2 linked regions of the Lepisosteus oculatus genome follow. The protein of the gene in region 1 purifies or fractionates together with the protein of each later gene. This does not show direct contact. Links are inferred from orthologs where the notes say so. Each region holds a gene or a part of one and is shown in the gene's direction. Other genes may lie near its edges.

Evidence for each region.
Region 2: the proteins of adra1d (region 1) and ctnnal1 purify together in Homo sapiens (tandem affinity purification; 3 studies listed by IntAct, with this or other methods). This does not show direct contact. The link is inferred for Lepisosteus oculatus from reciprocal best matches to the Homo sapiens genes ADRA1D and CTNNAL1.

The regions. Positions count from the first base shown.
Region 1 is NC_090696.1:7,474,249-7,485,454, reverse strand, and holds the start of adra1d (alpha-1A adrenergic receptor), read left to right. Parts: upstream 1-6,124; 5' UTR 6,125-6,577; coding exon 6,578-7,529; intron 7,530-11,206. UniProt on the Homo sapiens protein: This alpha-adrenergic receptor mediates its effect through the influx of extracellular calcium.
Region 2 is NC_090705.1:32,494,858-32,506,288, forward strand, and holds the start of ctnnal1 (alpha-catulin), read left to right. Parts: upstream 1-7,034; 5' UTR 7,035-7,360; coding exon 7,361-7,456; intron 7,457-11,431. UniProt on the Homo sapiens protein: May modulate the Rho pathway signaling by providing a scaffold for the Lbc Rho guanine nucleotide exchange factor (ARHGEF1).

The DNA.
Region 1 (11,206 bases):
CTTTCACACTTCCCTCAGAAGGTTGCCCAGATTTCCATCTCATTATTCTCATTACCCATTCTCCTGTCTTTTTGTCCTGAGTTCTCCACCTAGGAAGATAAGATCACTTTATTGGCCATATACAATTTCATGCATTAGGACTTTGTCTTTTTGCATACCCCAGCTTGCTCTCACACAGGCACACAGTCAGGGAGAGAGAAGCTTGGGGTCAGAGTGCAGGGTCAGCCATTTATACATTGCCCCTGGAGCAACTGGGGTTAAGGGCCTTGCTCAGGGGCCCAACAAGTAGGATTCCACTACCAGCCACGGGATTTGAACCGGCAACCTTCCAGCCACAAGCACAGATCCTTAGCCACAATGCCACCACTCCCCTTTGCTTCTTATTCCTGTTCTCACCCTCTGCCCCCTCATAGGAGAAGAAGGCAGCGTAGCCAAATATTTTTCCTTTTCATCTTGGAATGAATCTCTTCTTGTTCTTTTGTAGCTTGCATGCTGACAGAAGCCCCTCACACTGCCTCTTCAGAAAAAGCTGACGATAGACACATAGATAACACTCTTAAAAACTGCAAAGCAGGATGCGTGTCTAATTCCAATTAAATTATTTATTGGCTGCCTTATATTATGAATTGCTTTGTCATATAATCACATCCACGGAAATGGCACTGTTTAGATAGTCATATTAGCTTTTTCTTAATAATAAATCATCTGAGAAATGGTGTCAACTTTTTTTCTCATCACTCTCCAATATGCCATCACAATGGCAAGATAAACCTGCTGCAGAGGAGTCATTTTTCTGATTTCAAGCATAACCCTTCATCAACACAATTCTGGATTTTACTGATTTTGTTTTAGAACGTGATCTGATGACATAAGAACAAAAAAAAAGACTACAAAAAAAGATTAGGTAATTTGACCAGGTCTGCTTATTTAAATGTTGAAATATATTGATCTAATCACAATCAGCTTTTCCTTTCAGAATAATCATTGGTTTCTACATAATTACCGGATTGCGAGATTCAGTCACCTACAGTATACCTCCTCCTTTCAGTGCTAAATATACTTCTTATATAGTAATTTTCACTTGTGTCCTCATGTACTTGTGTCATTGATGAGAATGAAGTAGTCTCTCAGGCTAAATGTGCAATACCATTCAGGGTTTGAATGCTTTGATTAAGTCTTTTCATAATTTCCTCTCTTCAAGGCTAGAGGCTGCGAAAGGGGTAATTTTGCTTCGATATTTTGTTTAAGGTCGACTCTTCAAAACTGCACCATTTCTTAAGCTGAACTCTGTGACCTTACTGACGCTACACCAAGGGCCACACTCACTTTACTTTGCTGAATTTGGGTTAATTTCTTTTACTGTAAAAATACTTTTCTTTGTAACCACTTAATGCAAATTATATTAGATTAAAAAATGATTACATTTTCTATTTATTTACTAATTTGAATGCAGGATTTGGCCATTGATATACAGTACACACATCACGCTCGTAAACCCCTCCTTGGACGCTCCAGCCCTTCCTTGTCTCCATCTCCAGCACCTGCTTCTGGTTCCTGCCCCATGTCCTATAAAAGCCAGACGTTCCTGCCAATCTGGTCTCAGCTTTGGAAGATGGACGCCCGGAAGCCCACCTCCCCGCGAGTCCAGGAGCGACTCGGCAGCATCGGCTTCAATGGCGTCCTGACCTTCTGGGTCCAGGACTGGAGCGTCTGGTCCCGTTATCCCCCTTTTATTCCTCCAACCCTCCACCGGATCCCGCTCCTGCCTTTTAACTTTGTTTGTCTGTCAGGTTGGATCTCCCAGTTTTGGACATTGGAATATTCTCGGATTTGCCTCGGACTCCTTCGGACTGTTTGCCTCGGACACATCCCTTGAACACCAGCACACCTAGAATACGCCCCCTGTTTTCCTTCCAGCCCCTTTGTATGCTTCCCCGTGTTTTCCTCACTTCTCCCGGATTGTGCTGTCTGCATAGGGTCCTGAAAGAACGCTTCGTGACAACATATATCCTGTCATACTGTACACCTTTCCAAATTCAAGTGTATAGTTTTCCATGGTTTCCAAACACATGCTGTTTAGTCATGCAAGTGATCCCTACCCAAAACATTTGTGATTCCACAGCTTGAAACAGAAATGCCAAAAGGACATGAAAGATGTACTACTGCAACAAAACTGTGACTTCCTGGTCAAATGTTTTTTTCTTATCCTCCAAACCCATTCAATTAGGCTATTTTTGAGTTTTGAGTCTTTACATATGTTACAGATAATCTACTGTACATTAAGGGCCAGAGCCGGCTTTACTTCTTGAGCAGGCTCACGTCCTTCAACGTGTGTAGTAAGATGCTCCATATGTTCTATCAGTCGGTTGTGCGAGTGCTATTTTCTATGTGGTGGTGTGCTGGGGCTCTGGCATTAGAGAAGGGGATGCTAACAGGCTGAACAAGCTCATCAAAAGAGCAAGTTCTGTCATTGGGTCTGATCTGGACCCCTTGGAGGTAGTGGCTGAGAGGAGAATGGTGAACAAGTCTCCCATCCCCTTCTATGACACGCTTGTGAGAATTAAAAGCATGTTCAGCAATAGACTGATCCAACCATGGCACAACAGGGAGCACTACAGGTGGTCATTCTTACCTCCTGCCAAAAGACTGTACAACTCATCCACTGTGTGTCTGGGCAGGGGCACCATTGGCCTGTTTTGTGTCTAAACATTAATTCTCTGTTAACAGCTGGTTTTCCTGTTTACAACTGATTTTTATGCAATATATGCTAGAAATTGGTGCAATATATGTATAATATGCACTACATCTTTTGTGTACTGTACATTCTGGTTTGTTTTGTATCTTCTGTAATGTGAGCAATTCTGTATACTCCATTAAAACAAATTACTGCACTTCGCACTGACTGTACTCACTGTATTGTATTGTTTATTATTGTATCTTTTCATTACACTGTGCTGTGTTGACACTGCAATTTCCCTCAGGGGATTAATAAAGCTATCTAATATATCATGTTCCATTTTGTGTTTGTTGTATTTTGGGAAATAAACAATTAAAGATAAACACGTGGTAACATCCATCCATCCATTCTCTAACCACTTCATCCAATTCAGAGTCACTGGGGAGCTGGAGTCTATCCTTAAAAACAATGGGTGCAAGACAGTATACACCCTGGATGAGACACCTGTCCATCACTGGGCACACACAGACACAGACAAATAGATGCACTCACACTAGAGCCAATTTTGATGTATGACTTATACCGTACTTAAAAGACAAAAACAGAGCACCAGGAGGAAAGCCACACAAAGGGAGAGATTTTACCACAGGATGAGAGAAGGAGTTGTAGTGAAGATGCTATGCCTTATTCTCAGTAGAACTTTTCAGGTTTTATCATGTGAACATCAAGGATCAGTGAACTTTCTTATTGCTTTAATTATATTGGGTAAATCTTCACCAGACAGTTAAGTGAATTACTGTTGGTGTGATGGATTCGCACAACAATACATTCAGAGACAGGAGAGAAAGCGTTGTCCATGTTACATAAGAAATGTATGCACACATAGCCCTATCAGAAAGGGTAACTAAAAGAAAATGCAACAGAATGGAGAATGGACTGTAATAACTATGCTGTTATACCTGGGTTAGCCAGAGGTCGCAGATCTCTGTCTCCTCAGTAACCAGACATATCAGCAAGAGGACAATGTACTAGAACACCACCCTGGGCTGTTCAGACTCTCTCGGGTCCGTTGTCCCTACCACCTTCTTCCAACAAATGGGTGCTAATTCCCTCAAGTCCAGGAAATACAAAAGAGAATTTGCCACTTATCCAGTGCTCTGTCATTGAGGTACCATCCAACCCAGGTAGTGTACTAAGCATTATTAACCTGTGTCTCAGAATGACACCCAGCCTGAATCCTACCTGAAAGACTCCCTGTCTGTCCTGAACCTGCTCAGCCTTTCTGTTGTCGCCAACCACCAGACCAGGGGCACATTTCTTCACTTGCAGCCTGTATTCCCACTGGAGAGTGTAGCCTAGATCAGTCCTGAAAGCTGCGTTCGCCATCTTTCACAGATTAGTCCCGTCTGCGACTGCCTTCCGATCTGCCTCAGTAATCCCCATCCATCCTTGTGAATGTCCGAGCCTTCGCCGGGATCAAGCTCTTGGATTCATCAGCCTGTCAGCAAGATGCCGCTTTTCTTATCCGGTTGCTACATCAAAACAAACACATTTTATTTATGTGAATGTAGTGAGTGTCAACACATGAACGATAGAGTTGTGGCATTCTAGTCTGTAGTAAAAAATATCAGAATCTATTAATCTAATCTATTCAGTCACATAATGCTCTATTTCTTATCAACAAAAGAACTCTCTATCACCTTACCCCACTAGGACAAAAAGAGAGCATGAACATGGAAAACTTTATCTAGGATGTAGCAACAGAATCACGAGACTTAAATTTTCCTGTACTCATTGAGTACCCCACTTACATTTCTCTGATCTGATAGGAACTAATACAGCATATGAGCTATCTGGGTGAGAAAATAGTGAGGAAACATTCAAATTCAGATCACACTTCAACCACTTTGCATGAAAAAAATCACTGTGTTGAAAATTGATACGTGGTTGTATTGAATAAAACAATCAGCCTTAGACATGTACTTTTCCAAATGTGTTGTATCTGAGCTCATTTTCTGACTTTTGCTTCCTGACTAATTGGGTATATTAGTGTCAGTTGCAGTTTGTAAATGTGAAGGGAAGTGTCATCTCTGATCACTACAGCCCTTTCCCTTGTTTTATAAAAAGTATAACTTATCGTGCATATGCTGAAATCATAAGCTATATCCTAATCTGTTACTGATTACGACACAATCAGGCTAGGTCTAAACAAACAAACTAAAGTCTTGCATGCCTTATACAGTACCTCCAGCATTTTCAGCATTTTATCAAGTGAAAATAAGGTGTAAAGGGCATTACACAGTGCTGTTTAAAAATTCATAATGGTAACTATACCCACAAGTAAAAAATTCTAAATTATTATCATTAATTTATTTTCCTGGTGCCCAAACAAATAATTACAGTATTACTCACTGTCCGGACAATATTTCAATGTGGTTTTGTACTTCCACTGCTTATTGATTTTGATTTTCTTTTTCCTTTGAACAGAGCCAGTTCCTTAAACAAATATGGCATTTTCTAAATACCTACAAATGGTGTTTTCAAAAACAAAAACCTATGGCTGCCATTGCCATGAACTCATAACTGCCAAAAGGGAAAAAGCTGCTGTACACCACAGTAGTAACAGATCTGTTTCAGTTGTATCATGAAGTCAAGTTCATGATGAAGACAAGGCTGGGGAATTGTGCCACTTAATAGTGAATAGCATGATACCAAGTGAGACATAAAAAAGACAGGGGATTAAACCTTCTGTAAAATTTAGACACAGCTTTTTTTAGATTAATTTCTACTGCTATTTCTGAAGACTTTTTCTGTGTCCTGCTCTCCAGTGAAAAGTCTTTGCAGTGGTGCAATATTTCAGAAATATTATTACTAAGAATTCAAGAAAATGTAGGAAGGCAAAATGTTCATAAACCTCAACCGTCTTGAAGAATAACATCCTGAATGAATTATAGGACTGTGTGTTCCTTTAGATTACTTTCCCTCTTAACCTTTCAACATGAGCCTCTGGTGGCTCTTAAAATAAATGTCTGTTTTGCCAGAGGGATGTGTGCAGTGTTTTGAACAGCAGCTGCGTACCATCAATGGGAATAGAGGTTAGCCTTTCGTTAGATCAGGACAGTGTAGTGGCTTAACAGTGTTTTTTCCTTCACGTAGCGACGACTAGCTAGGCAAATCGTTACGTGTTCCACTTGAGCTCCGAGTATCGAAACTTAAATCTGCCTAACTTTTTTAACTACATCACAGAAAGAGAAACATAGATGAAAGAAGTTTTAACGCGATTGTGTAGAACATGATCTGTAAATTAAGAATGTGCTGTCCTCTTGTGGACTTTCGTTGAACAACAACAATTATGTGTCGCGTCACAGACTACATTCCTGGGAGGAGGAGACAGTGAAATCTCAGCCGCAGCTCAGTAATTTGGGTTTGAGTTTTCTCACAGTGGATGTCGTCTGTGGAATATCAACAAACAGGGCAATACTCTTCACACGGCAGAAAACAAAACGTTAAAGGAATATCGTTCACAGAACTAATTTAACTGTCACTAATAATAGTAATGGAAAAACAGAAAAAAAGTTGAAATAATCTAAGAGGTGAAATGATCTTCAGAGTGAGATATATTGCTAAACTGATGATTTAGAATTTAACCTTTTTTGGTGTTTTTTTGTAGGGGGGATGAATGTGATGACGTTGCTGCAAAGCTTTCCAACAAACATGTAAGCACAAGTATTTCCACTCTCCAGTGCGACAGACGCACCTTGAGCGTGCGTTCACAAGTTCTTGCGTCTTTTCATATCTTTTGAATTATTTCCATACTGCAGCTCCACAGCAGTGCTTTAATGGTCTCATTGTGTCTCTGAACTAACTTAAAAAAAACGTTTTTCTTTATGGAGTTTCAAAATGACTTTTTCTGACTCGAACAATGATAACGATAATGGAAATTACTCCGGAGGCACCGGTAATCTGTCTCTCGCGGAACAACCTTTTGCCAACATCAGCAACAACACCTCCATGGAGCTGACATTGGATTCTCAGGCAATAGGGATAGGGGTGTTTCTGTCCGTTTTTATATTATTCGCGATCGTGGGGAACATCTTGGTGATACTTTCTGTGGTATGCAACAAGCACTTGCAGACAGTCACCAACTACTTTATCATTAACCTCGCCATAGCTGATTTACTTTTAAGTACTATTGTGCTGCCTTTCTCTGCCTCTTTAGAGGTGCTCGGATGCTGGGTTTTTGGCAGGATATTCTGCAACATCTGGGCTGCGGTGGATGTGCTGTGCTGCACTGCATCTATTATGAGCCTGTGCATAATCTCGATAGACAGGTACATCGGAGTGAAACATTCCCTGAAATACCCTACTATAATGACAGAAAAGAAAGCGGTGGTGATCTTAATAGTTGTCTGGGTCTCCTCTATGGTTATTTCAATAGGACCGCTGTTAGGATGGAAGGAACCGCCGCCGACAGACGAGAGCATCTGTAGCATCACCGAAGAACCGGGCTATGCCCTTTTCTCGTCGCTTTTCTCCTTCTATCTCCCGCTCATGGTCATCCTGGTGATGTATTTTAGGGTCTACATTGTAGCCAGGAGGACTACTAAGAACCTAGAAGCGGGGGTGAAAAAAGAAAGGAATAAGTCAGTGGAAGTCGTCCTTAGGATTCACTGCAGAAGTGTCCTGGAAGAAGCCGCCGCAAGCGCTAAAAGCAAAAGCCACCCTTTCCGAAGTTCCCTGTCCGTGCGCCTCCTGAAATTCTCCAGAGAAAAGAAGGCGGCCAAAACTTTGGCCATCGTTGTCGGGGTGTTCATCCTTTGCTGGCTACCTTTCTTCTTAATTTTACCTCTAGGTATGTAAGAAATCGTTATTTTGTTTTTGTTTGTAGTAGTGTGCGGACCAGGGCGAAAAAAGGTGTGTTCTTGCGTTGAGACTAAATGTGGCGTGAGAGTGTGGGGGATTTTATCGATTAGGTTACCCAGTCTAACAAAACTACTAACGTCTCTTTGTGTAAACAAACGTGCAATGTCGTTTCAGTAAAACAAACAAAAAAAGTGATTACCTATCCGTGTTAATGGACGCTGTCAGAAAGTAATGCAGGCGCAACTGATCTCGTTCTTATTGATGCTGCCTTGATAAAAACGTAGAAAAAGCTAAACGGGAATTTTGCTTTTCTTTTCAAAAATATAAAATAAAATGTGTCTTCGTATTCCTGCAACACCAGCAATTGACACCAGAGAACTGATGCGGTGAACAAATTATTTTGACTAAATTACAAAAATTCAGTAAAAAAAATACTTCATATTAACTAAAACAATCGGATTGTAGAGTATGCTTAGTTTACAGTGTAAAGTAGCGTTTAGTGCTGTATATGGTTCAGAAGTGCTTCAACATATCATGTTTTCTATACAATGCAAAAACAGGTTTAGATGATGGTCATAAAGATGTTTTTCGTTATTAGTCACTCTCCAAATAAAACCAGCTATATAGATATAACCAGGTTTCGTTATTCTTAAATAGAGATTCAAGACTTAATTGAAGACCAAATGAAAATTAAAACAAAGTGAGTTGGCAAAGCTCTTCTCTTTTTTCCCTTTCTGGCAAAGTGTGGGAAGAATTAATGGCTTATTGTTTAAAACAAGTCCACTACTCAAACTCACATTTCAAGGCATTCTAGACTGTGAATCCAGTAATTTCAACAGTCTGTTAAGTTCTATGGCTTTTAAAATCTATCCTCTGTAAATGGTCACATACCTCTATCTAGAGAGATTGTATTTGTCTTAAAGTCTTGCTGAAGTATTTGCTTTTCCCAATATCTTCTGGTACAATTAACTGCCACACTTGACAATTATAAAACTTTAAATGTATGTTCTTAACAAATTTAGCAAATATCATTCATGTTAGGTTTTCAGTTCAGATACTCTTAGAGTATTTACGTTTAGTTTACCAAAAAGTAATATTAATATATTTTCAATTTAAAACATATAAATCTCACTGTTTTCACAATCAGTTATATCATATTGCTTAACTGTAAGGAATAAGACATCAGGATACTCAGCTTTCAAACTCTTGAGATCATGTACTGTATTATTACGTAATTTTATGTAGTCCTATAAGAAATTAAATGCATCTGTATAACCGAGATATATAGATATTACATCTATATACTGTATAACATGTAAAATTAGGATTCTAATTATTCGGTTATGTCTTTCATCTTATTACTTATTATAGACACTTTTCCACTGGTTATTTTGGGTCATGAGGGAAAATTTCTATCCTGTGTTCCCATGAATAGAACTAGGTCTGGTTCATTAATAACTTATGAAACAATACATCAATGAGTCTAATCTGAAAATTCCCTTGTTCTAAAATGTAATGACTCTCCCTTTTTCTCATAATGGACACAGATTGTGTACTTGAAGACATTGCACACATTAATACATTAGTGAATATCAAATAAAGTCAAAGATATTTTTTTTCATAAGTTAAATGAGAAGGAGGTTGTTGGTTTTCCTGGTATGTTAAGAAGAACAAAGCTTGACAAGTAATGTGTTAATTTAATCTTCAGTGATATGCAAATATCACATTATGAGTGCATAACAATTAACACTAAATTGCTTAATAAAACATGTATGAGATGCATATGTATATATGAGAACAATCTGAGTTTTGTTGTCAAATATGTTATTAATCTTTAGTAAGGTTCAGTTCATACTACTGTAGGTTATTGATGGACTGTAATGATAACTAATACTGAAATTGCCATTTAGTTTATCTACATTAGCTTTTGGTATGATACAAAGATTATACAACCGGCATACTTAAAAATAAGACTAAACTTTTTTCCCAGCATACTTTTAGGTTATTTTCTGAATTGATTTTTATTAATTTCATTCAAAGAAGAGGAAGCACTTTCTTTTGTTGAGAAAGGATATTAATACAGTACAAGAGTCGCACTCAGCCTTGGGTCCAGACGTACACTTCAAGCTATAACTTTTCTTCTTTACACTTCAAGTCAAACATTTGCATACTTTTTTCACCTAATAAGAAAATGTGGAGAATAATAATTTTGTCTCAAACAAAATGTTACAGAATGCAAAAAAAAATACAGCTTTAAAAATACAGTCACAGTTCAGTGCTTATGAAAAGAAAATAGGTTTAGCAGATGAATGGCGTTTAAAGCTATTGTTCGGGGCTCCAGCAAACATATTCTTGTGTTGTCGCTTATGGTGGATTATTTAGTATCTACTGTATATACTCAATATGCCTAAAATATTCATATCTTTAAATAAAGCCAATTATGGACTGCTTGCTCATTTTCATTCATTTCATTCAAGAGATGATTTATGGTCGCTATTTAGATGATTTGTGGTGAGGTCGTTTTTGGGATGCATGGGTGTATTAATTCATCCAAAGTTAAGAATGTAGTTTGACACCTGTCTGAAGTGTTGGCTTTGGATAGCTTTTACCCTTTTTAGTGGCTACTGTGCAGTCCTCAGAGGCCGTCCCCTTAGGGGAATTACAGTCCACTGTATTTATCATAGTCATCATTGAGCCCTGTTATTAAGGTTGATGTCACTTTCTAAGCTTAATGACCTTTCTGTTAAACTCAGAACTTGTCTTAACATAATTTATCAATTTCCTGGATGCAGCACCTCTGCTTGGACTTATTGTAATAGAGTCACACTATGCTGTTTTTGACATCTCTGTTGACAACGTGCTGATTAAGGGACATAAATTCAATTTTTCTGCCAGTACTTTTGGAGTGTATCAGATGTGCCTCCAGATAATCTGGGCATCTGCTGTCTGGCACAGAACCTGAATTCCTGGATACGTTGTTTTTTTAAATGTTTCTTTTCTGCAAATTTTTCATCTATTTTTTTTCCTAACAGAATGCCACTGTCTTCATGTTGTTCCCCTGTTAAGGGAAAATATATCAGATATGGGTAGTTACTTTTACCCAGATTGAAATGTTTACTGACACTGTACAGACCCCTCTCAAACCCATTGTAGGATTTAATTTCTTTAAAAATATATGTTTGTTTCAGTTTTTATTATAGTGGGAATAGAAAATTCTGTTCTTCCATTCAGTTCATCTGCTTTTTGTCTAAATAATTTGAGGTTGTTTTTTTTTCTTCTCTGGCTAACCATACATGTAGCTTGTCCCTAAACACCTGTCATTTTTAGTTTGCATTTTTACCTGCAAGGAGGCCTCATTATCAAGTAATTTATCAAGAATTATTTATGTTCTTCAAGTTTTTCTTCCTTCTTCCAGTAATAAAATATTTCTGAATGCTTAGAAACATATGTCTTCTTTACTAAACAACAAAAAACAATAATGAAACAAAAAAAGATTATAGTAGTTCAAGTACTGTAGGTACTGTAGCTACGTCAGCAGGCGTAGGCTGTAAAGGAACAAGTAAAGGTTTATTCAATGCTGAAAAGAGAAGAAATAAACCACAACGTTTAGTCTGTGGAACCTTCTTCGGGTGTGAAGAAAAAAGCTTATGCAGCCAAAACCCCATT
Region 2 (11,431 bases), on another chromosome or scaffold:
TTTTGTTTTACATTTATTGCCCAGGAATAACTGATACAGAATAAATGGTTCCTGAATGATGTTTTCATTTTAAGCGAGCATTTGCATTTGCATTTAATATCTGATGGACAATTTTAGAGGTTTTATTTGTTTATACATATTTCACTTTTTATTAGATTAAGAGCAACTTTGTAATTTGATTTCATTTGTATTTAATATTTCACTTAATATTTGCTATACATGAAAGAGAAAGACTGACTGGAGTCATGCAAACAGTTTACAGGAAATATTAACTTACAATATGTCTTACAATATGTCTGGTTGATAAAAGTTACAGGACAATAACTAACCATATGCTGGCAAGCTGTCTTTTGGTTGTTAAATTCAAAATATCTGTTCTTCGGGTAATAGAGAGTGAGCATAAAGAAGAGAATCTGATGTGTGCAGTCTTTCACTTCAGAAATAATAAGAATATTGTAACGCATATGGCCACTGTTGCAGGTCGTTCAAGCCAGCTTACCAGCACAGTGACGCCACCACCCTTCCCTGTGAATAGCAGGGACCTCAGCCGCAGGGCTGCAGGGAGATTTCCCTTTAGCTCAACTGGCTGGGTCCCTGTTGAGTGACGCCGGAGGCCCGGGTTTAAGTCCCCAGCGGCGGGGGGGCCGACCTGAGGCGGCAGCGGTGAGGGCGCATACCCACATGAATCCGAGAGCATAACATTGGTGTTAGCAGTGGGATGGGATAGCCCTTCGCCGAGGACGTCGAATAGCGGGGGAGAGTGTAAAGCATACGGCCACCATTGCAGGTTGTACGAGCCGGCTTACCAGCGTAGTGACGTCACCACCCTTCCCTGTGAATAGCAGGGACCACAGCCGACGGGATACAGGGAGATTTCTCTCTAGCTCAACTAGCTGGGTCCCTGTTGAGTGATGCCAGAGGCCTGGGTTCAAGTCCCCAGCGGTGGGGGGGCTGATCTGAGGTAGCGGTGGTGAGGGTGCATACCCATGTGAATCCAGGAGTGTTACAATATAAAATAAAAATAATAAAATAAGAATTCCAGCTCTGTTCCTTACTGTTGTGTCAGATAGTAGAAGAGAATCCAATGAGAAATGATGTGTCATACTGATGATAAAAGGGGTATTTAGGTACTCAAAATACCACCAATTGACAAAGTATATGTCAATGTTTATAGGTTACATTATTGAATATTTCACGACTAATTTCACAGAAAGAAAAGAGGGCATCTCACATTTTGCAACTTAAAAAAAACAAGTATTTGAAAATATTGTTGTAACGTTCCCAGGTTTTATCTAATTTTCATGGTCTATAATACCCCAATAATAAAAACACAGTGCGAGAGGTCATATACAGTACCAAAAAAGAAACTGTACCAATGATAACCAGAAAATGTAGGGATCTTTAGTACTGGGGTCACAATGTACTTTTGGTGTTCACAATGCATTGAACTCATCTCCTGACTCAGTCTTGAGAAACACATGTGATTTAATTTCTCAGTGGTTATTATAGATGTAGCCACTCCAAGAGTACCCAAGAGACTACTATGATGGACACAAAGATCAATATAACCACTGAACAGAGCAACAATCTGCTTGTACTATCACACCGCCTTTAATACACTGTATCTTTTCTGGTTTTCCCTGACTACTGTATGTTCACACAAAACGAATACAATTAACAGGGATCAGTCTTAACTAGTCACATAACTGCAATTAATTGCTGTTTAATTACTAAGCCAACTACTGCCATAATCCTCGGAACTATGCATTTGGTTTGAATATCCATATGTAAGAAAAAAGAAAACCATGGTGTTAGAAGTCAATCAGGCTATCCTATGGCTTTGGCTGTAATTTATAGCCCTGTCTTTTTCACAACACAGGAAAGTCAATAGAACTGAGGCCCCTGTAGATTTTTAATATTTCATACTGAGAAAAGAGCAGGAATGCTAAGTGAAGTAGATATAAGACTGTTTCAATGAGAAAAGACAGCACCACTGTCAAAACCTAGCCATTCGGATTGCTTTGTAAAATTGAATTGCCGTTTTGTTTGGCATTCAGTTTCAGAAAAATGCATCTTACTCACACCCCACTCAGTTCTTGTTTTACTGAAGAAATTCTCGGTTTCTAATTCCCTTATTTTATAATTATTCAAATTTGTTTTGATTTTGGCGATATTTACAACTTTTGCTCCTTCCAGAATAATTTCTTTCAGTGCACTGGCAACTCAGCTTTGACACCTACTTGGAAAAAGTGCACAAATTCATTAATTTAGCTGGTCAGACCCTTTAAGCTGCTCATATACTTTATACAACTGATCAAGCTTAAATTAAATTAGAAATGAAATATATTGCTATTTAAAAAAAAGCTCTTGGAAGAAATCTGCATTTGAAAGGTACTTTACACAGTGGTAAGTAAAAATACGCTGGGGATTTGACTATAGGATATTGAGGTTTTGAAGTGTAAAGCTGTAGCTTATGTATTGTGTTAAAATATTGGCTCCCTATGGCACTGTATGTAAGGCAAACACAGTCAATATCAATCATGTCAAAAGCATTCAGATGCTGTTTTGTTTACATTGCATCAATCGCCTCCAATATTGTTGTATAACTGATTGCTTGTTGCTGTTGTTGTTGAACTGATACGACTATCAAAAATTCTGAAACCGAATCTGAGGTTTACACGTACAGAATATGGAAATAAGAAAATGTTTTATTTGAAAGATTTTATACTTTTTAACTCAAATTGTAAATGGTCACTAAGCACATCTTCACAGAATTGTCAAGGGCAATTAGACCTCATTTTATCTGTAAACAATGCCCTACATCTTACACAAATACTTTTAGTTTTGAGCGCTTAGGAGGTGGGAGAAGGAGGGAGAACCACTTTAATATACAGTATCTCTCCATTCCCCTCTCTAGATAAATGTGCTGTCAGAACAATCTCCTGATCTGCTTATTTCTATTAGCAATACGATTTCTTCCTTACAACCATAACTCTAACCGAGGCAACAAAAAACGAATACCTTAAAATGACATTTGCATATGTTTATCTCATGAAACAGGAGTTAAATTGTGAATGAGGTCAGTTAATTTGTTAAGAGTTGATGCTACAGTTAGCACATTCCTCAATTTGTGGTACTATTGAAAGTACAGTATGACTAGAGAATATGTATGACTAAGTAAGTATGACTAAAGGATACTCTAAGGTTCTCTGGGCATTTTTCTAACCTCAACTGCGAAATGTAGTTAACAAAACTGTGATTTGATAACCTGATTGTTGAGTGTATCAATTCAGAATTTTGATTATTCTCCTAGCTTTGGTTGCAGCTCGCAGGTGTAATGACAAGGCACCAACACAACAAATTGGGTACACAGTCAGTCTCGTGAGTTGCACCTATTGGGATTTTTACATTGTAATTCATCGAACCACCACAGAATGCACTGTGAATCTCCGTCACTTTATTCCGACAATGAGTGAGAATTCAGAAACAAAAGCCACCCAAGATGACAAACAAGTCTTACGTGCTACAATAAATAGGGCCAATAAAACATCGTACCACAAAGGACATGTCGTAAGATGCTGTGTGACAAAGAAGAAGCAGGCCTCTAGCTAGATGTGGTAGGTCTTATTCTGTTCAGAATAAGAAAATGGCTCAATCCCACCTCCGAAAGATTGGTAAGGTTCCCAAACCCAGTGTCACGAAGCTTTGTGTTATTATAACTGGTATTTTTGTTAGTTACAACTATGACAAGACTGTGAACACTCCTGGTCAGTTTCACATTTTCATTTTCTCAGACATCAGCACAGCTGTAAAAGCATTCATAACTGAAGCCCCTAGTGTAACGTTTCCTCATTTAAAGAGATTTGTTTGTCCACCTCCCCCAAACCTGTTCCACTAAAGGATAACTGCTGAGGGAACAGAGAACATAAATAATTCATATTGCAGGTTTCATTCTTTTAGATTGAAATGGATGTCAGCTCAGCAGCTTCTTAAACCTCTTTGTTAAATGCTAGACAGGAGGCTGATAAAACTATGAATCACTAATTACGGGAATATGAAAGGGTAGTGAAATCAAATTAAACATTTCTTTCGGGCTAGGTTACAAATTTTATTTATCTCCATTAAACAAAATGGCGCAGAAAGGCTTTAGAACAGAACCCTGTACTGAACAGGGCCAACCCTGTTCCTGGTGAACCATAATCCAGCAGGTACTGCGGATCACCCTTAATTAACCCTAAATTTGAAACATTAAGAACATTTTAAGTTTGACCATTTAAACAGGTGGTTCATTGCAGGGTAGACACTCAGACACAAATACAGACACACACTTGCGCCAAGGACTAATTTTCCAATTAATAAGCCAATTAACATACCAGTATGTCTTTGGAATGTAGATGAAAACCAGAGCAGCCCAAAGGAAACCCACACAAACACAGACAGAACATAGAGACTCCACACAGATCGCACCCCAGGTTTGGAATTACACCCAGGGCCCCAGTGCTGTGAGGCAGTAGTGCTGACCACTGCACCGCTGTGCTGCCTGTAAATTAGATATTTCGGTTTTAAATTTTTCAGACAAATGTTCATTACACAATAGAAATTGTTGGAAGGTTGCCAGTTCAAATCCTGCAGCCTGCAGAGGAATCCTACTCCGTTGGGCCCCGGAGCAAGACCCTTAACCCCAACTGCTCTAGGGGTGCTGTACAAAGGCTTACCCTGCACTCTGACCCCAAGCTTCTCTCCATATCTGTGTGTCTGTGGAGAGCAAGCTGGGGTATGCGAAAAGACGAATTGCTAATGCAAGAAATTGTATATGGTTAATAAAGTGATCTTAATCTTAATCTTAAAAATATTTTGCCCCCTTAAAATGTTGTGTGTGTTGTGTTAAACGAGGCAAAAATTAACTTCAATGCATTCAAAATTCCAGTCATAATACAATATTTGCAATTGTGCAGTGGTGGAGGATACTTTCTGAAGGCACTGTAGCACTAAAAATCTTAATACTAGGAAATGGTAAAATTCTTTCATTTAAAGGCACAGTCACCCATTTCCACAATAATATTTATTTCATCCTCCAATGGTTTATTGCAGAACCCCCTCTGCAATATGCAATAATAATCACACTTAAACAGCATGGACCTCTGAACATTATATTACAATGATACTACATTGAAATACTTTTTTTTTCTTTGTAATTGATTGTGGTTTTAGATGCATTTTTTAAACCATTGGTTTCCAGTTAACCCAGGGTTTACAGCCCGACACCAAGAACTTGAAGATCTCTGAGAGTGCTGCAGTATCTGTAACCTGTAAATCATCCGTTCCATTCTGAGTTTCACAGATGGAACAACGAGGCACATCTATTGTTTGGGTTACAGTATACCTATGTCAAAGAAAAAGTACTGTGCTATAGGGATAGGTAACAAAAAGAGCCATACTGTAAGAGAATACAAACAAAATAATTTTAGTAACTACAGTATTGTAGTTAATCACATTAAAGCAAGCTCCGTCATTAGGTCTGGCCTGGACCCCCTGGAGGTAGTGGCCGAGAGGAGAATGGTGTCCAAACTAGAGGCCATCATGGACAACGTCTCCCATCCCCTCTATGACATGCTTGTGGAAATGAAGAGCACGTTCAGCAATAGACTGATCCCTCCACGGTGTGACAGGGAGCGCTACAGGAGGTCATTCTTGCCTTCTGCCATAAGACTGTACAACGCATCCACCTTGCGTCTGGGCAGAGGCAACATTGACAGTGACCTGTTTCTGGACTGAACAGTAAACTGATACATCTGTTCTTTTTCTTTTTCCCCGTTTAAAACCGTTTTTGGGCAATATATGCCAGGGACCTGTGCAATACATTTATATATTTATATTTATATTGTGCAATACGACTTTTTTGTGTACTGTTCTGTTCTTTGTGTGTTCTGGACTGTGAGTAACTCTTCATAGTGCACTCCTCACTGTACTGATTGTATTGTATGTATTGTATTATTATTATTGTTGTATCATTCGTTACACTGTTGCTGTGTTGTCTGTGTTAAGCTGCTGTTGCACTGCAATTTCCCTCATGGGATCAATAAAGTATCTATCTATTACGTTAATGCTGAGAAATGAATATGGGCTGCAGGTGAGCCTTAAGAAGTGTAAGGAATGAGGTGATAGATAAATCTGAAGGAGAAATAAAGAGAAGTAAAGAGCCTGAGAGAGTATGAGATGAATAGTAAAGTTCTGGATGAGCTGCAAATAGACCACGGATGATTTTCCATTATTAGCTCAGTGCCTAAATGGCGTGTAGATCTACAGCCTAAAATGCAATGTAACTCCACATGACTGAGACTCAAATAACAGCTGACCTTTTCTTGCATAACTGGTAATAAAAGGCTAATGGGCATAATACATTATTTTGCATTTATACATATATATATTTCTTAGATTGTAATTAGCTTATAAGTGCACTGGACATGTTAGAAACAAGTCACGATGTTAATGCTCTAACTTATGTTTCTTACATTCAACTTTTGTATCTGTCAGTTGTTTTGTATCTTTTGGATTCTATCATTGAAAGATACAGGTTGTGCAGAATTATGTTACTTCACATTTACGTTTCACACAAGTTCCTGCAAATCGTGAGATGTAGCCCCTGAAAATGCAGCGGAACTACAGCCAATTTGTTTTATGAGCTCCTACAGGAATTTCCTCGTACTCTCAGAAATATTAACATCTGTCTTTTCTTTGAAAACAAATAAATTGCCACAGTATGTTCTGGGCAAAGCATGAATAACAATCTCCCAGTATGTTGTACATTTAAAACAGAAACGTCCACAAAACGTTTAGGGGAAAAAAAAGAACAGTAACGTGGAAAAGAGTGTGGCAGATCTTTTAATCAAGGTGTTGCACAGAGTACAATATGATTATGAAGTAGGAATGTGCTCGGAGACGGTCTGAATACGAAATGGGACAGAGCAGTGTTTCGTGGAGCGGTGTTGAATGGCACCATGTCGTCACCAGGCGCTGCGAGAGTCAGCACAGCAGAGCAAGCCAGTTACCGCTCGGCGAGTCCCGGTAGTGTTCAGACCCTCTTGGTGGTGCAGTCAGCGGTGCAGTGTTCGCACGGGCAGTTTACTGTAGTTGAGCGAAGTGTGTGGGCATTATCGCAAGGAGAAACGCCGAACACGAGTGCATTCTCCAGTAATGCCGATGACTTCAAAAAACAAATAAACGTCACGGAGATTAGGTTTTCACTTGCCGGTCCGCAAGAGAAGCGCTCCCCCTTTTTAAAAACTGGAGTAAAGCTCAAACCGAATTGTGCTTTGCAGTAGAAGAAATTAAAAAAAAAGAAAAGAAAAGACCGGCGGGAATGGCTTCATCTCCTTGCGGCAGTAGTAGCTTTGATTCCGGGCTAGAGATCAAAACGCGCTCGGTGGAACAGACTCTCATTCCCCTTGTTTCTCAGGTAAGTTTTGCGAGAAAGAAACCGCGCTAAACTGCATTTTACGTTGATTTCAGGCTGGGGGAAAAATGCATTTTTAAAAAAGCGGTGGGCTTTCCACAAGCAAACAATCAGCCTTGTACAGAAGCAGTACTGAGCTGTTTATGCCATGGAGTTTTGCTAGCAGCTGCGAAACTCGCGTGGTTGTTTTCTTGTGGTAAACCAGAGTGGTAGTAATATGATAGAAAGTTTTGGTGTTTGAAGTGGAGAATTTAACTACTTTGCATCACACTCTAAATTTATCGGAAGAGCTTGGAGGCCGCATGTTATATTCCTCCATATCGGCGATAGGGATGTAAACTTTTAATTTTATGACGGTTTTAACAACGCGGAACAATTCCATTATAAAACTGCCACTGATCGTACATAGAGAACTAACGCTTTATATTCTTCATGAAGGATAGAGATATTGATCTCCAATCGTACCTTGCAGTGCTCGTTTCAGAGGGGGCGCAGTGGAAGGTGAAACACTGAAACAACTTTTCTTTATTGAAATATAATCATCCAGAATTCGGCGTTGTAATTGAGATTCTTAGGCCAGGTAGATTAACACTGAATAATGCAGAGACTGGGATCCACAGCAGCGCGTTTGCGGTTTAGGTGAACGAAATTAGTCATATGATTTGTACTTGTGTAGTAGACATTTAAGTGCATGGCAGGTTTACATCACTAGTTCCTCTTTGACCAGATACTGAAGGTTGTTTAAATTTATTTTAATATTGAAACCCGTTGCGTTGAATCTGGCGTTTTGAGCCGCGGATCTGCTATTTACACAACCTTGCTGAACATGGTAACATTGAATTGAACTACAGTGCTGGCAACATTAACATACTTTACAGTAAATGCTTTTTAAACTTGTGCAACCGAGTGAATTACTACAAACAAAAACTGTATAAATATTTTCATTTAGTGTTTTTAAACATTGATTCAAATATACTTCCACTTGTTTACTATTTAAACATTGTTACGTATTGAGGGAAACTCGGTTTGATGCGCAAAATAAAAAAACTCCCAGATTTGTTATTATCTGGAACATTTTCCCTTAAAAATAACAAAAGGGGGAAAAGTCCGTTTTAATTTTTTTAAATAAACGTTTAAAATGATTTTATCATGGACAAGGAATACATTAATATGGTATTGAAGTGGTTTAATTTTCACGTCTCTTGTCACCCAGTTACTACCGACTGTGTAGTGTGAATTGCTGGACCATTTAAAAATAGAAGATGTTCCGCCAATCACAAAGTATCGTGAATAACAGTAATCGACGCATTAACCTTATACTGAATGTCACAGATGTTTTTGGTAGGCTGAGTGTTGGTTATTAATTAGTCATTTTAGTTTTAACACTCTGTTTATGTGTAAAAAAGTTGTTTCCTTCCTTACATGCCTTGAATCTGAAAGTTAAAACCGAAAAGATTACTTCAGGAATAGTTTTCTCTAGAACGAACAAACAAAAAAAGGCTTTAAAAACTGCCCTGTACGTTAAGCAAGTTTCTTAAAAGGATTTTAGCTTGTCAAATCCTTTTATATTAATCCTGTATATTGCTGTTAATATACAGAAATATAAAGAATGTCCACCATGCAATTAACTGTGAAGTGCTGTATATAAATAGTTCATTTGTCCCCTTTAAAATCCCTAGAGCCGGGATCCCCAATTATCGTCCTGGAGGGCCAGTATGTCTGTGGGTTTTCAGCCCAGCTGGGCTTTTAATGACTTCAGTGGATTCACTATTGGCTGTATTGGACAAGTTTAACATCTCCCTGTTCTACAGGTTATGGTATTTGAGAGCTAGAAAACCAGCTTCCAGCCCTCTGGACCAGAGCTGGTGACGTTTGCTGCTGAGGAGTGAGAAGTTAGCAGTTTGTATGAAGAACAAAAGATGTTCTAATACAATGTCAGTAGACTGCAGTTTGCTGTATTGTGCACATGCAAGCAATTGGCAGGAAGGATGTATCATGTTTATTCAACGGGAACTTTAAGACTTCTTTCAGAAGAAGGGAACATTGGAATCCAGCAGTTATGTGCTTTCCAATGTTACCAAAACTAGCATAAATCTTTTGGAGTTTGTATACACTGTGTAACATAGCTGAGACTAACAGTACTTATTTAATGGTTATTCTACAGAATATTTTTTTTTGTATTTCAATCAGCACATGTGTCTTGTGGTTCTGGATTGGTGCACATGTGGACATAAATCTCTTCAAGAAATGCGAAGAAAACCTGTTGTGTTTTCTTTTGCTGGAAATATTGAATTTCTACTAATTTTATGTTCCCCACTTTGGGGGTGGCAGTCGGTCATCAATTTAATTTAAAGCTGGTACTCTAGGACTAGCGTGAGAGATGAAGATGAAGACCCACATGTACTTGGGAATGTCCTCTGAAACAAACACCCTCTCTTCTCGCATTGCTAGCCTACAGTACCAGCAGCAGGGACTCAGACCCCAGACTGCAGGCTTTTGGGTTCCCAGCCAACCACAGGAGTCCCTGGGTTTTGTATGTCAGGCCCCCTGCCCCCTGCCTGAGGTGCTCAATCAATTGTGTGTCACCACTTTGAGAAACTGTTGAGAAACTGTTCTACTTCACCTTGTGGTATGACCACATGGAGTCAGCAATTTTAACTGAAGGGCTCCACCTGCTCTACACACAGAGCCCTTGACTGTTTCAGCTGCTCAGGAGATGGTCTTTAACATTTTACCCTATTACACATCGCAGGAAATGGGAAGTCTGAATTGTGATAACTGTATCACAATTGTAGTTCTACATGTAATCATAATAATTGTTTACACTTATATAGTGCTTTTCTGGACACTCCACTTTACAAAGCGCTTTACAGGTTATAGGGACTTCCCTCCACCACCAATGTGGAACCTCCACTTGGATGATGCGACGGCAGCCATAGTGCGCCAGAACGCTCACCACATATCAGCTATCAGTGGGGAGGAGAAGAGAGTAATGAAGTCAATTCATAGATGGGGATTATTAGGAGGCCGTGATTGGTGAGGGCCAATGGGAAATTTGGCCAGGGGTTACACCCCTACTCATTTCGAGAAACGTCTTGGGATTTTTAATGACCACAGAGAGTCAGGACCTTGGTTTTACATCTAATCAGAAGGACGGTGCCTTTTTACAGTATAGTGTCCCCCTCACTATAATGGGGGATTAGGACTTACATAGACTGCAGGGTGAGCGCCCCCTGTTGGTCCCACTAACACCTCTTCCAGCAGCAACCCCAGGAGGTCTCCCATCCAGGTACTGACCAGGCTCACACCTGCTGAGCTTCAGTGGGTTGCCAGTTGTGAGTTGCAGGGTGATATGGTTGCTGGCATGTGCTGTAATTTTTGTGTAACCGAATACCACAACTGTGTCAGATCTCCATATTGCAGGATCTTGATAATTACTGAATTTCTGTGAGCGCCCAATGGTGTCGTTGGATATGAGTCAAAAAGAGAATTGTGCCGTTTTGAAAGCTCATAAGCAGCATTTATTATCAGTGTCTGCAGGCTTTGCTTCCTTTACAGATTTAGTGCAACAGCCCAGTACTGTAGACTGCAGTGTGAGCCAAGGTCAATTTAGAAACTACTCCCACACCGCTGGCCCTGAGGTTAAGATGAGTACTCATGTAATGTGCAACTGTGCAATCAGCTCTTGTAATCTAGTGCATATCTTTATTGTTTTACCTTTTATGGATTTGGGAAGATGATGTATCGGGGCTGTAACTCCTCGATTTAAACCAATTTATTTAACCAGCATCAACTCCAGTGCAAGTTTACTGCTGTGTACTAAAAATCATCCTGACGTAGCAACGTGGTCAGGTACTGTATTTTCTCAATTTTTGTGGAGCCTACATTTTATAATTATTGAGCGTCGTCTTGTACATGTATTCAAAGAACTACAGTATGGATTGTGCAGTTCCATCAATCTTTTGAAATGATCCTTTT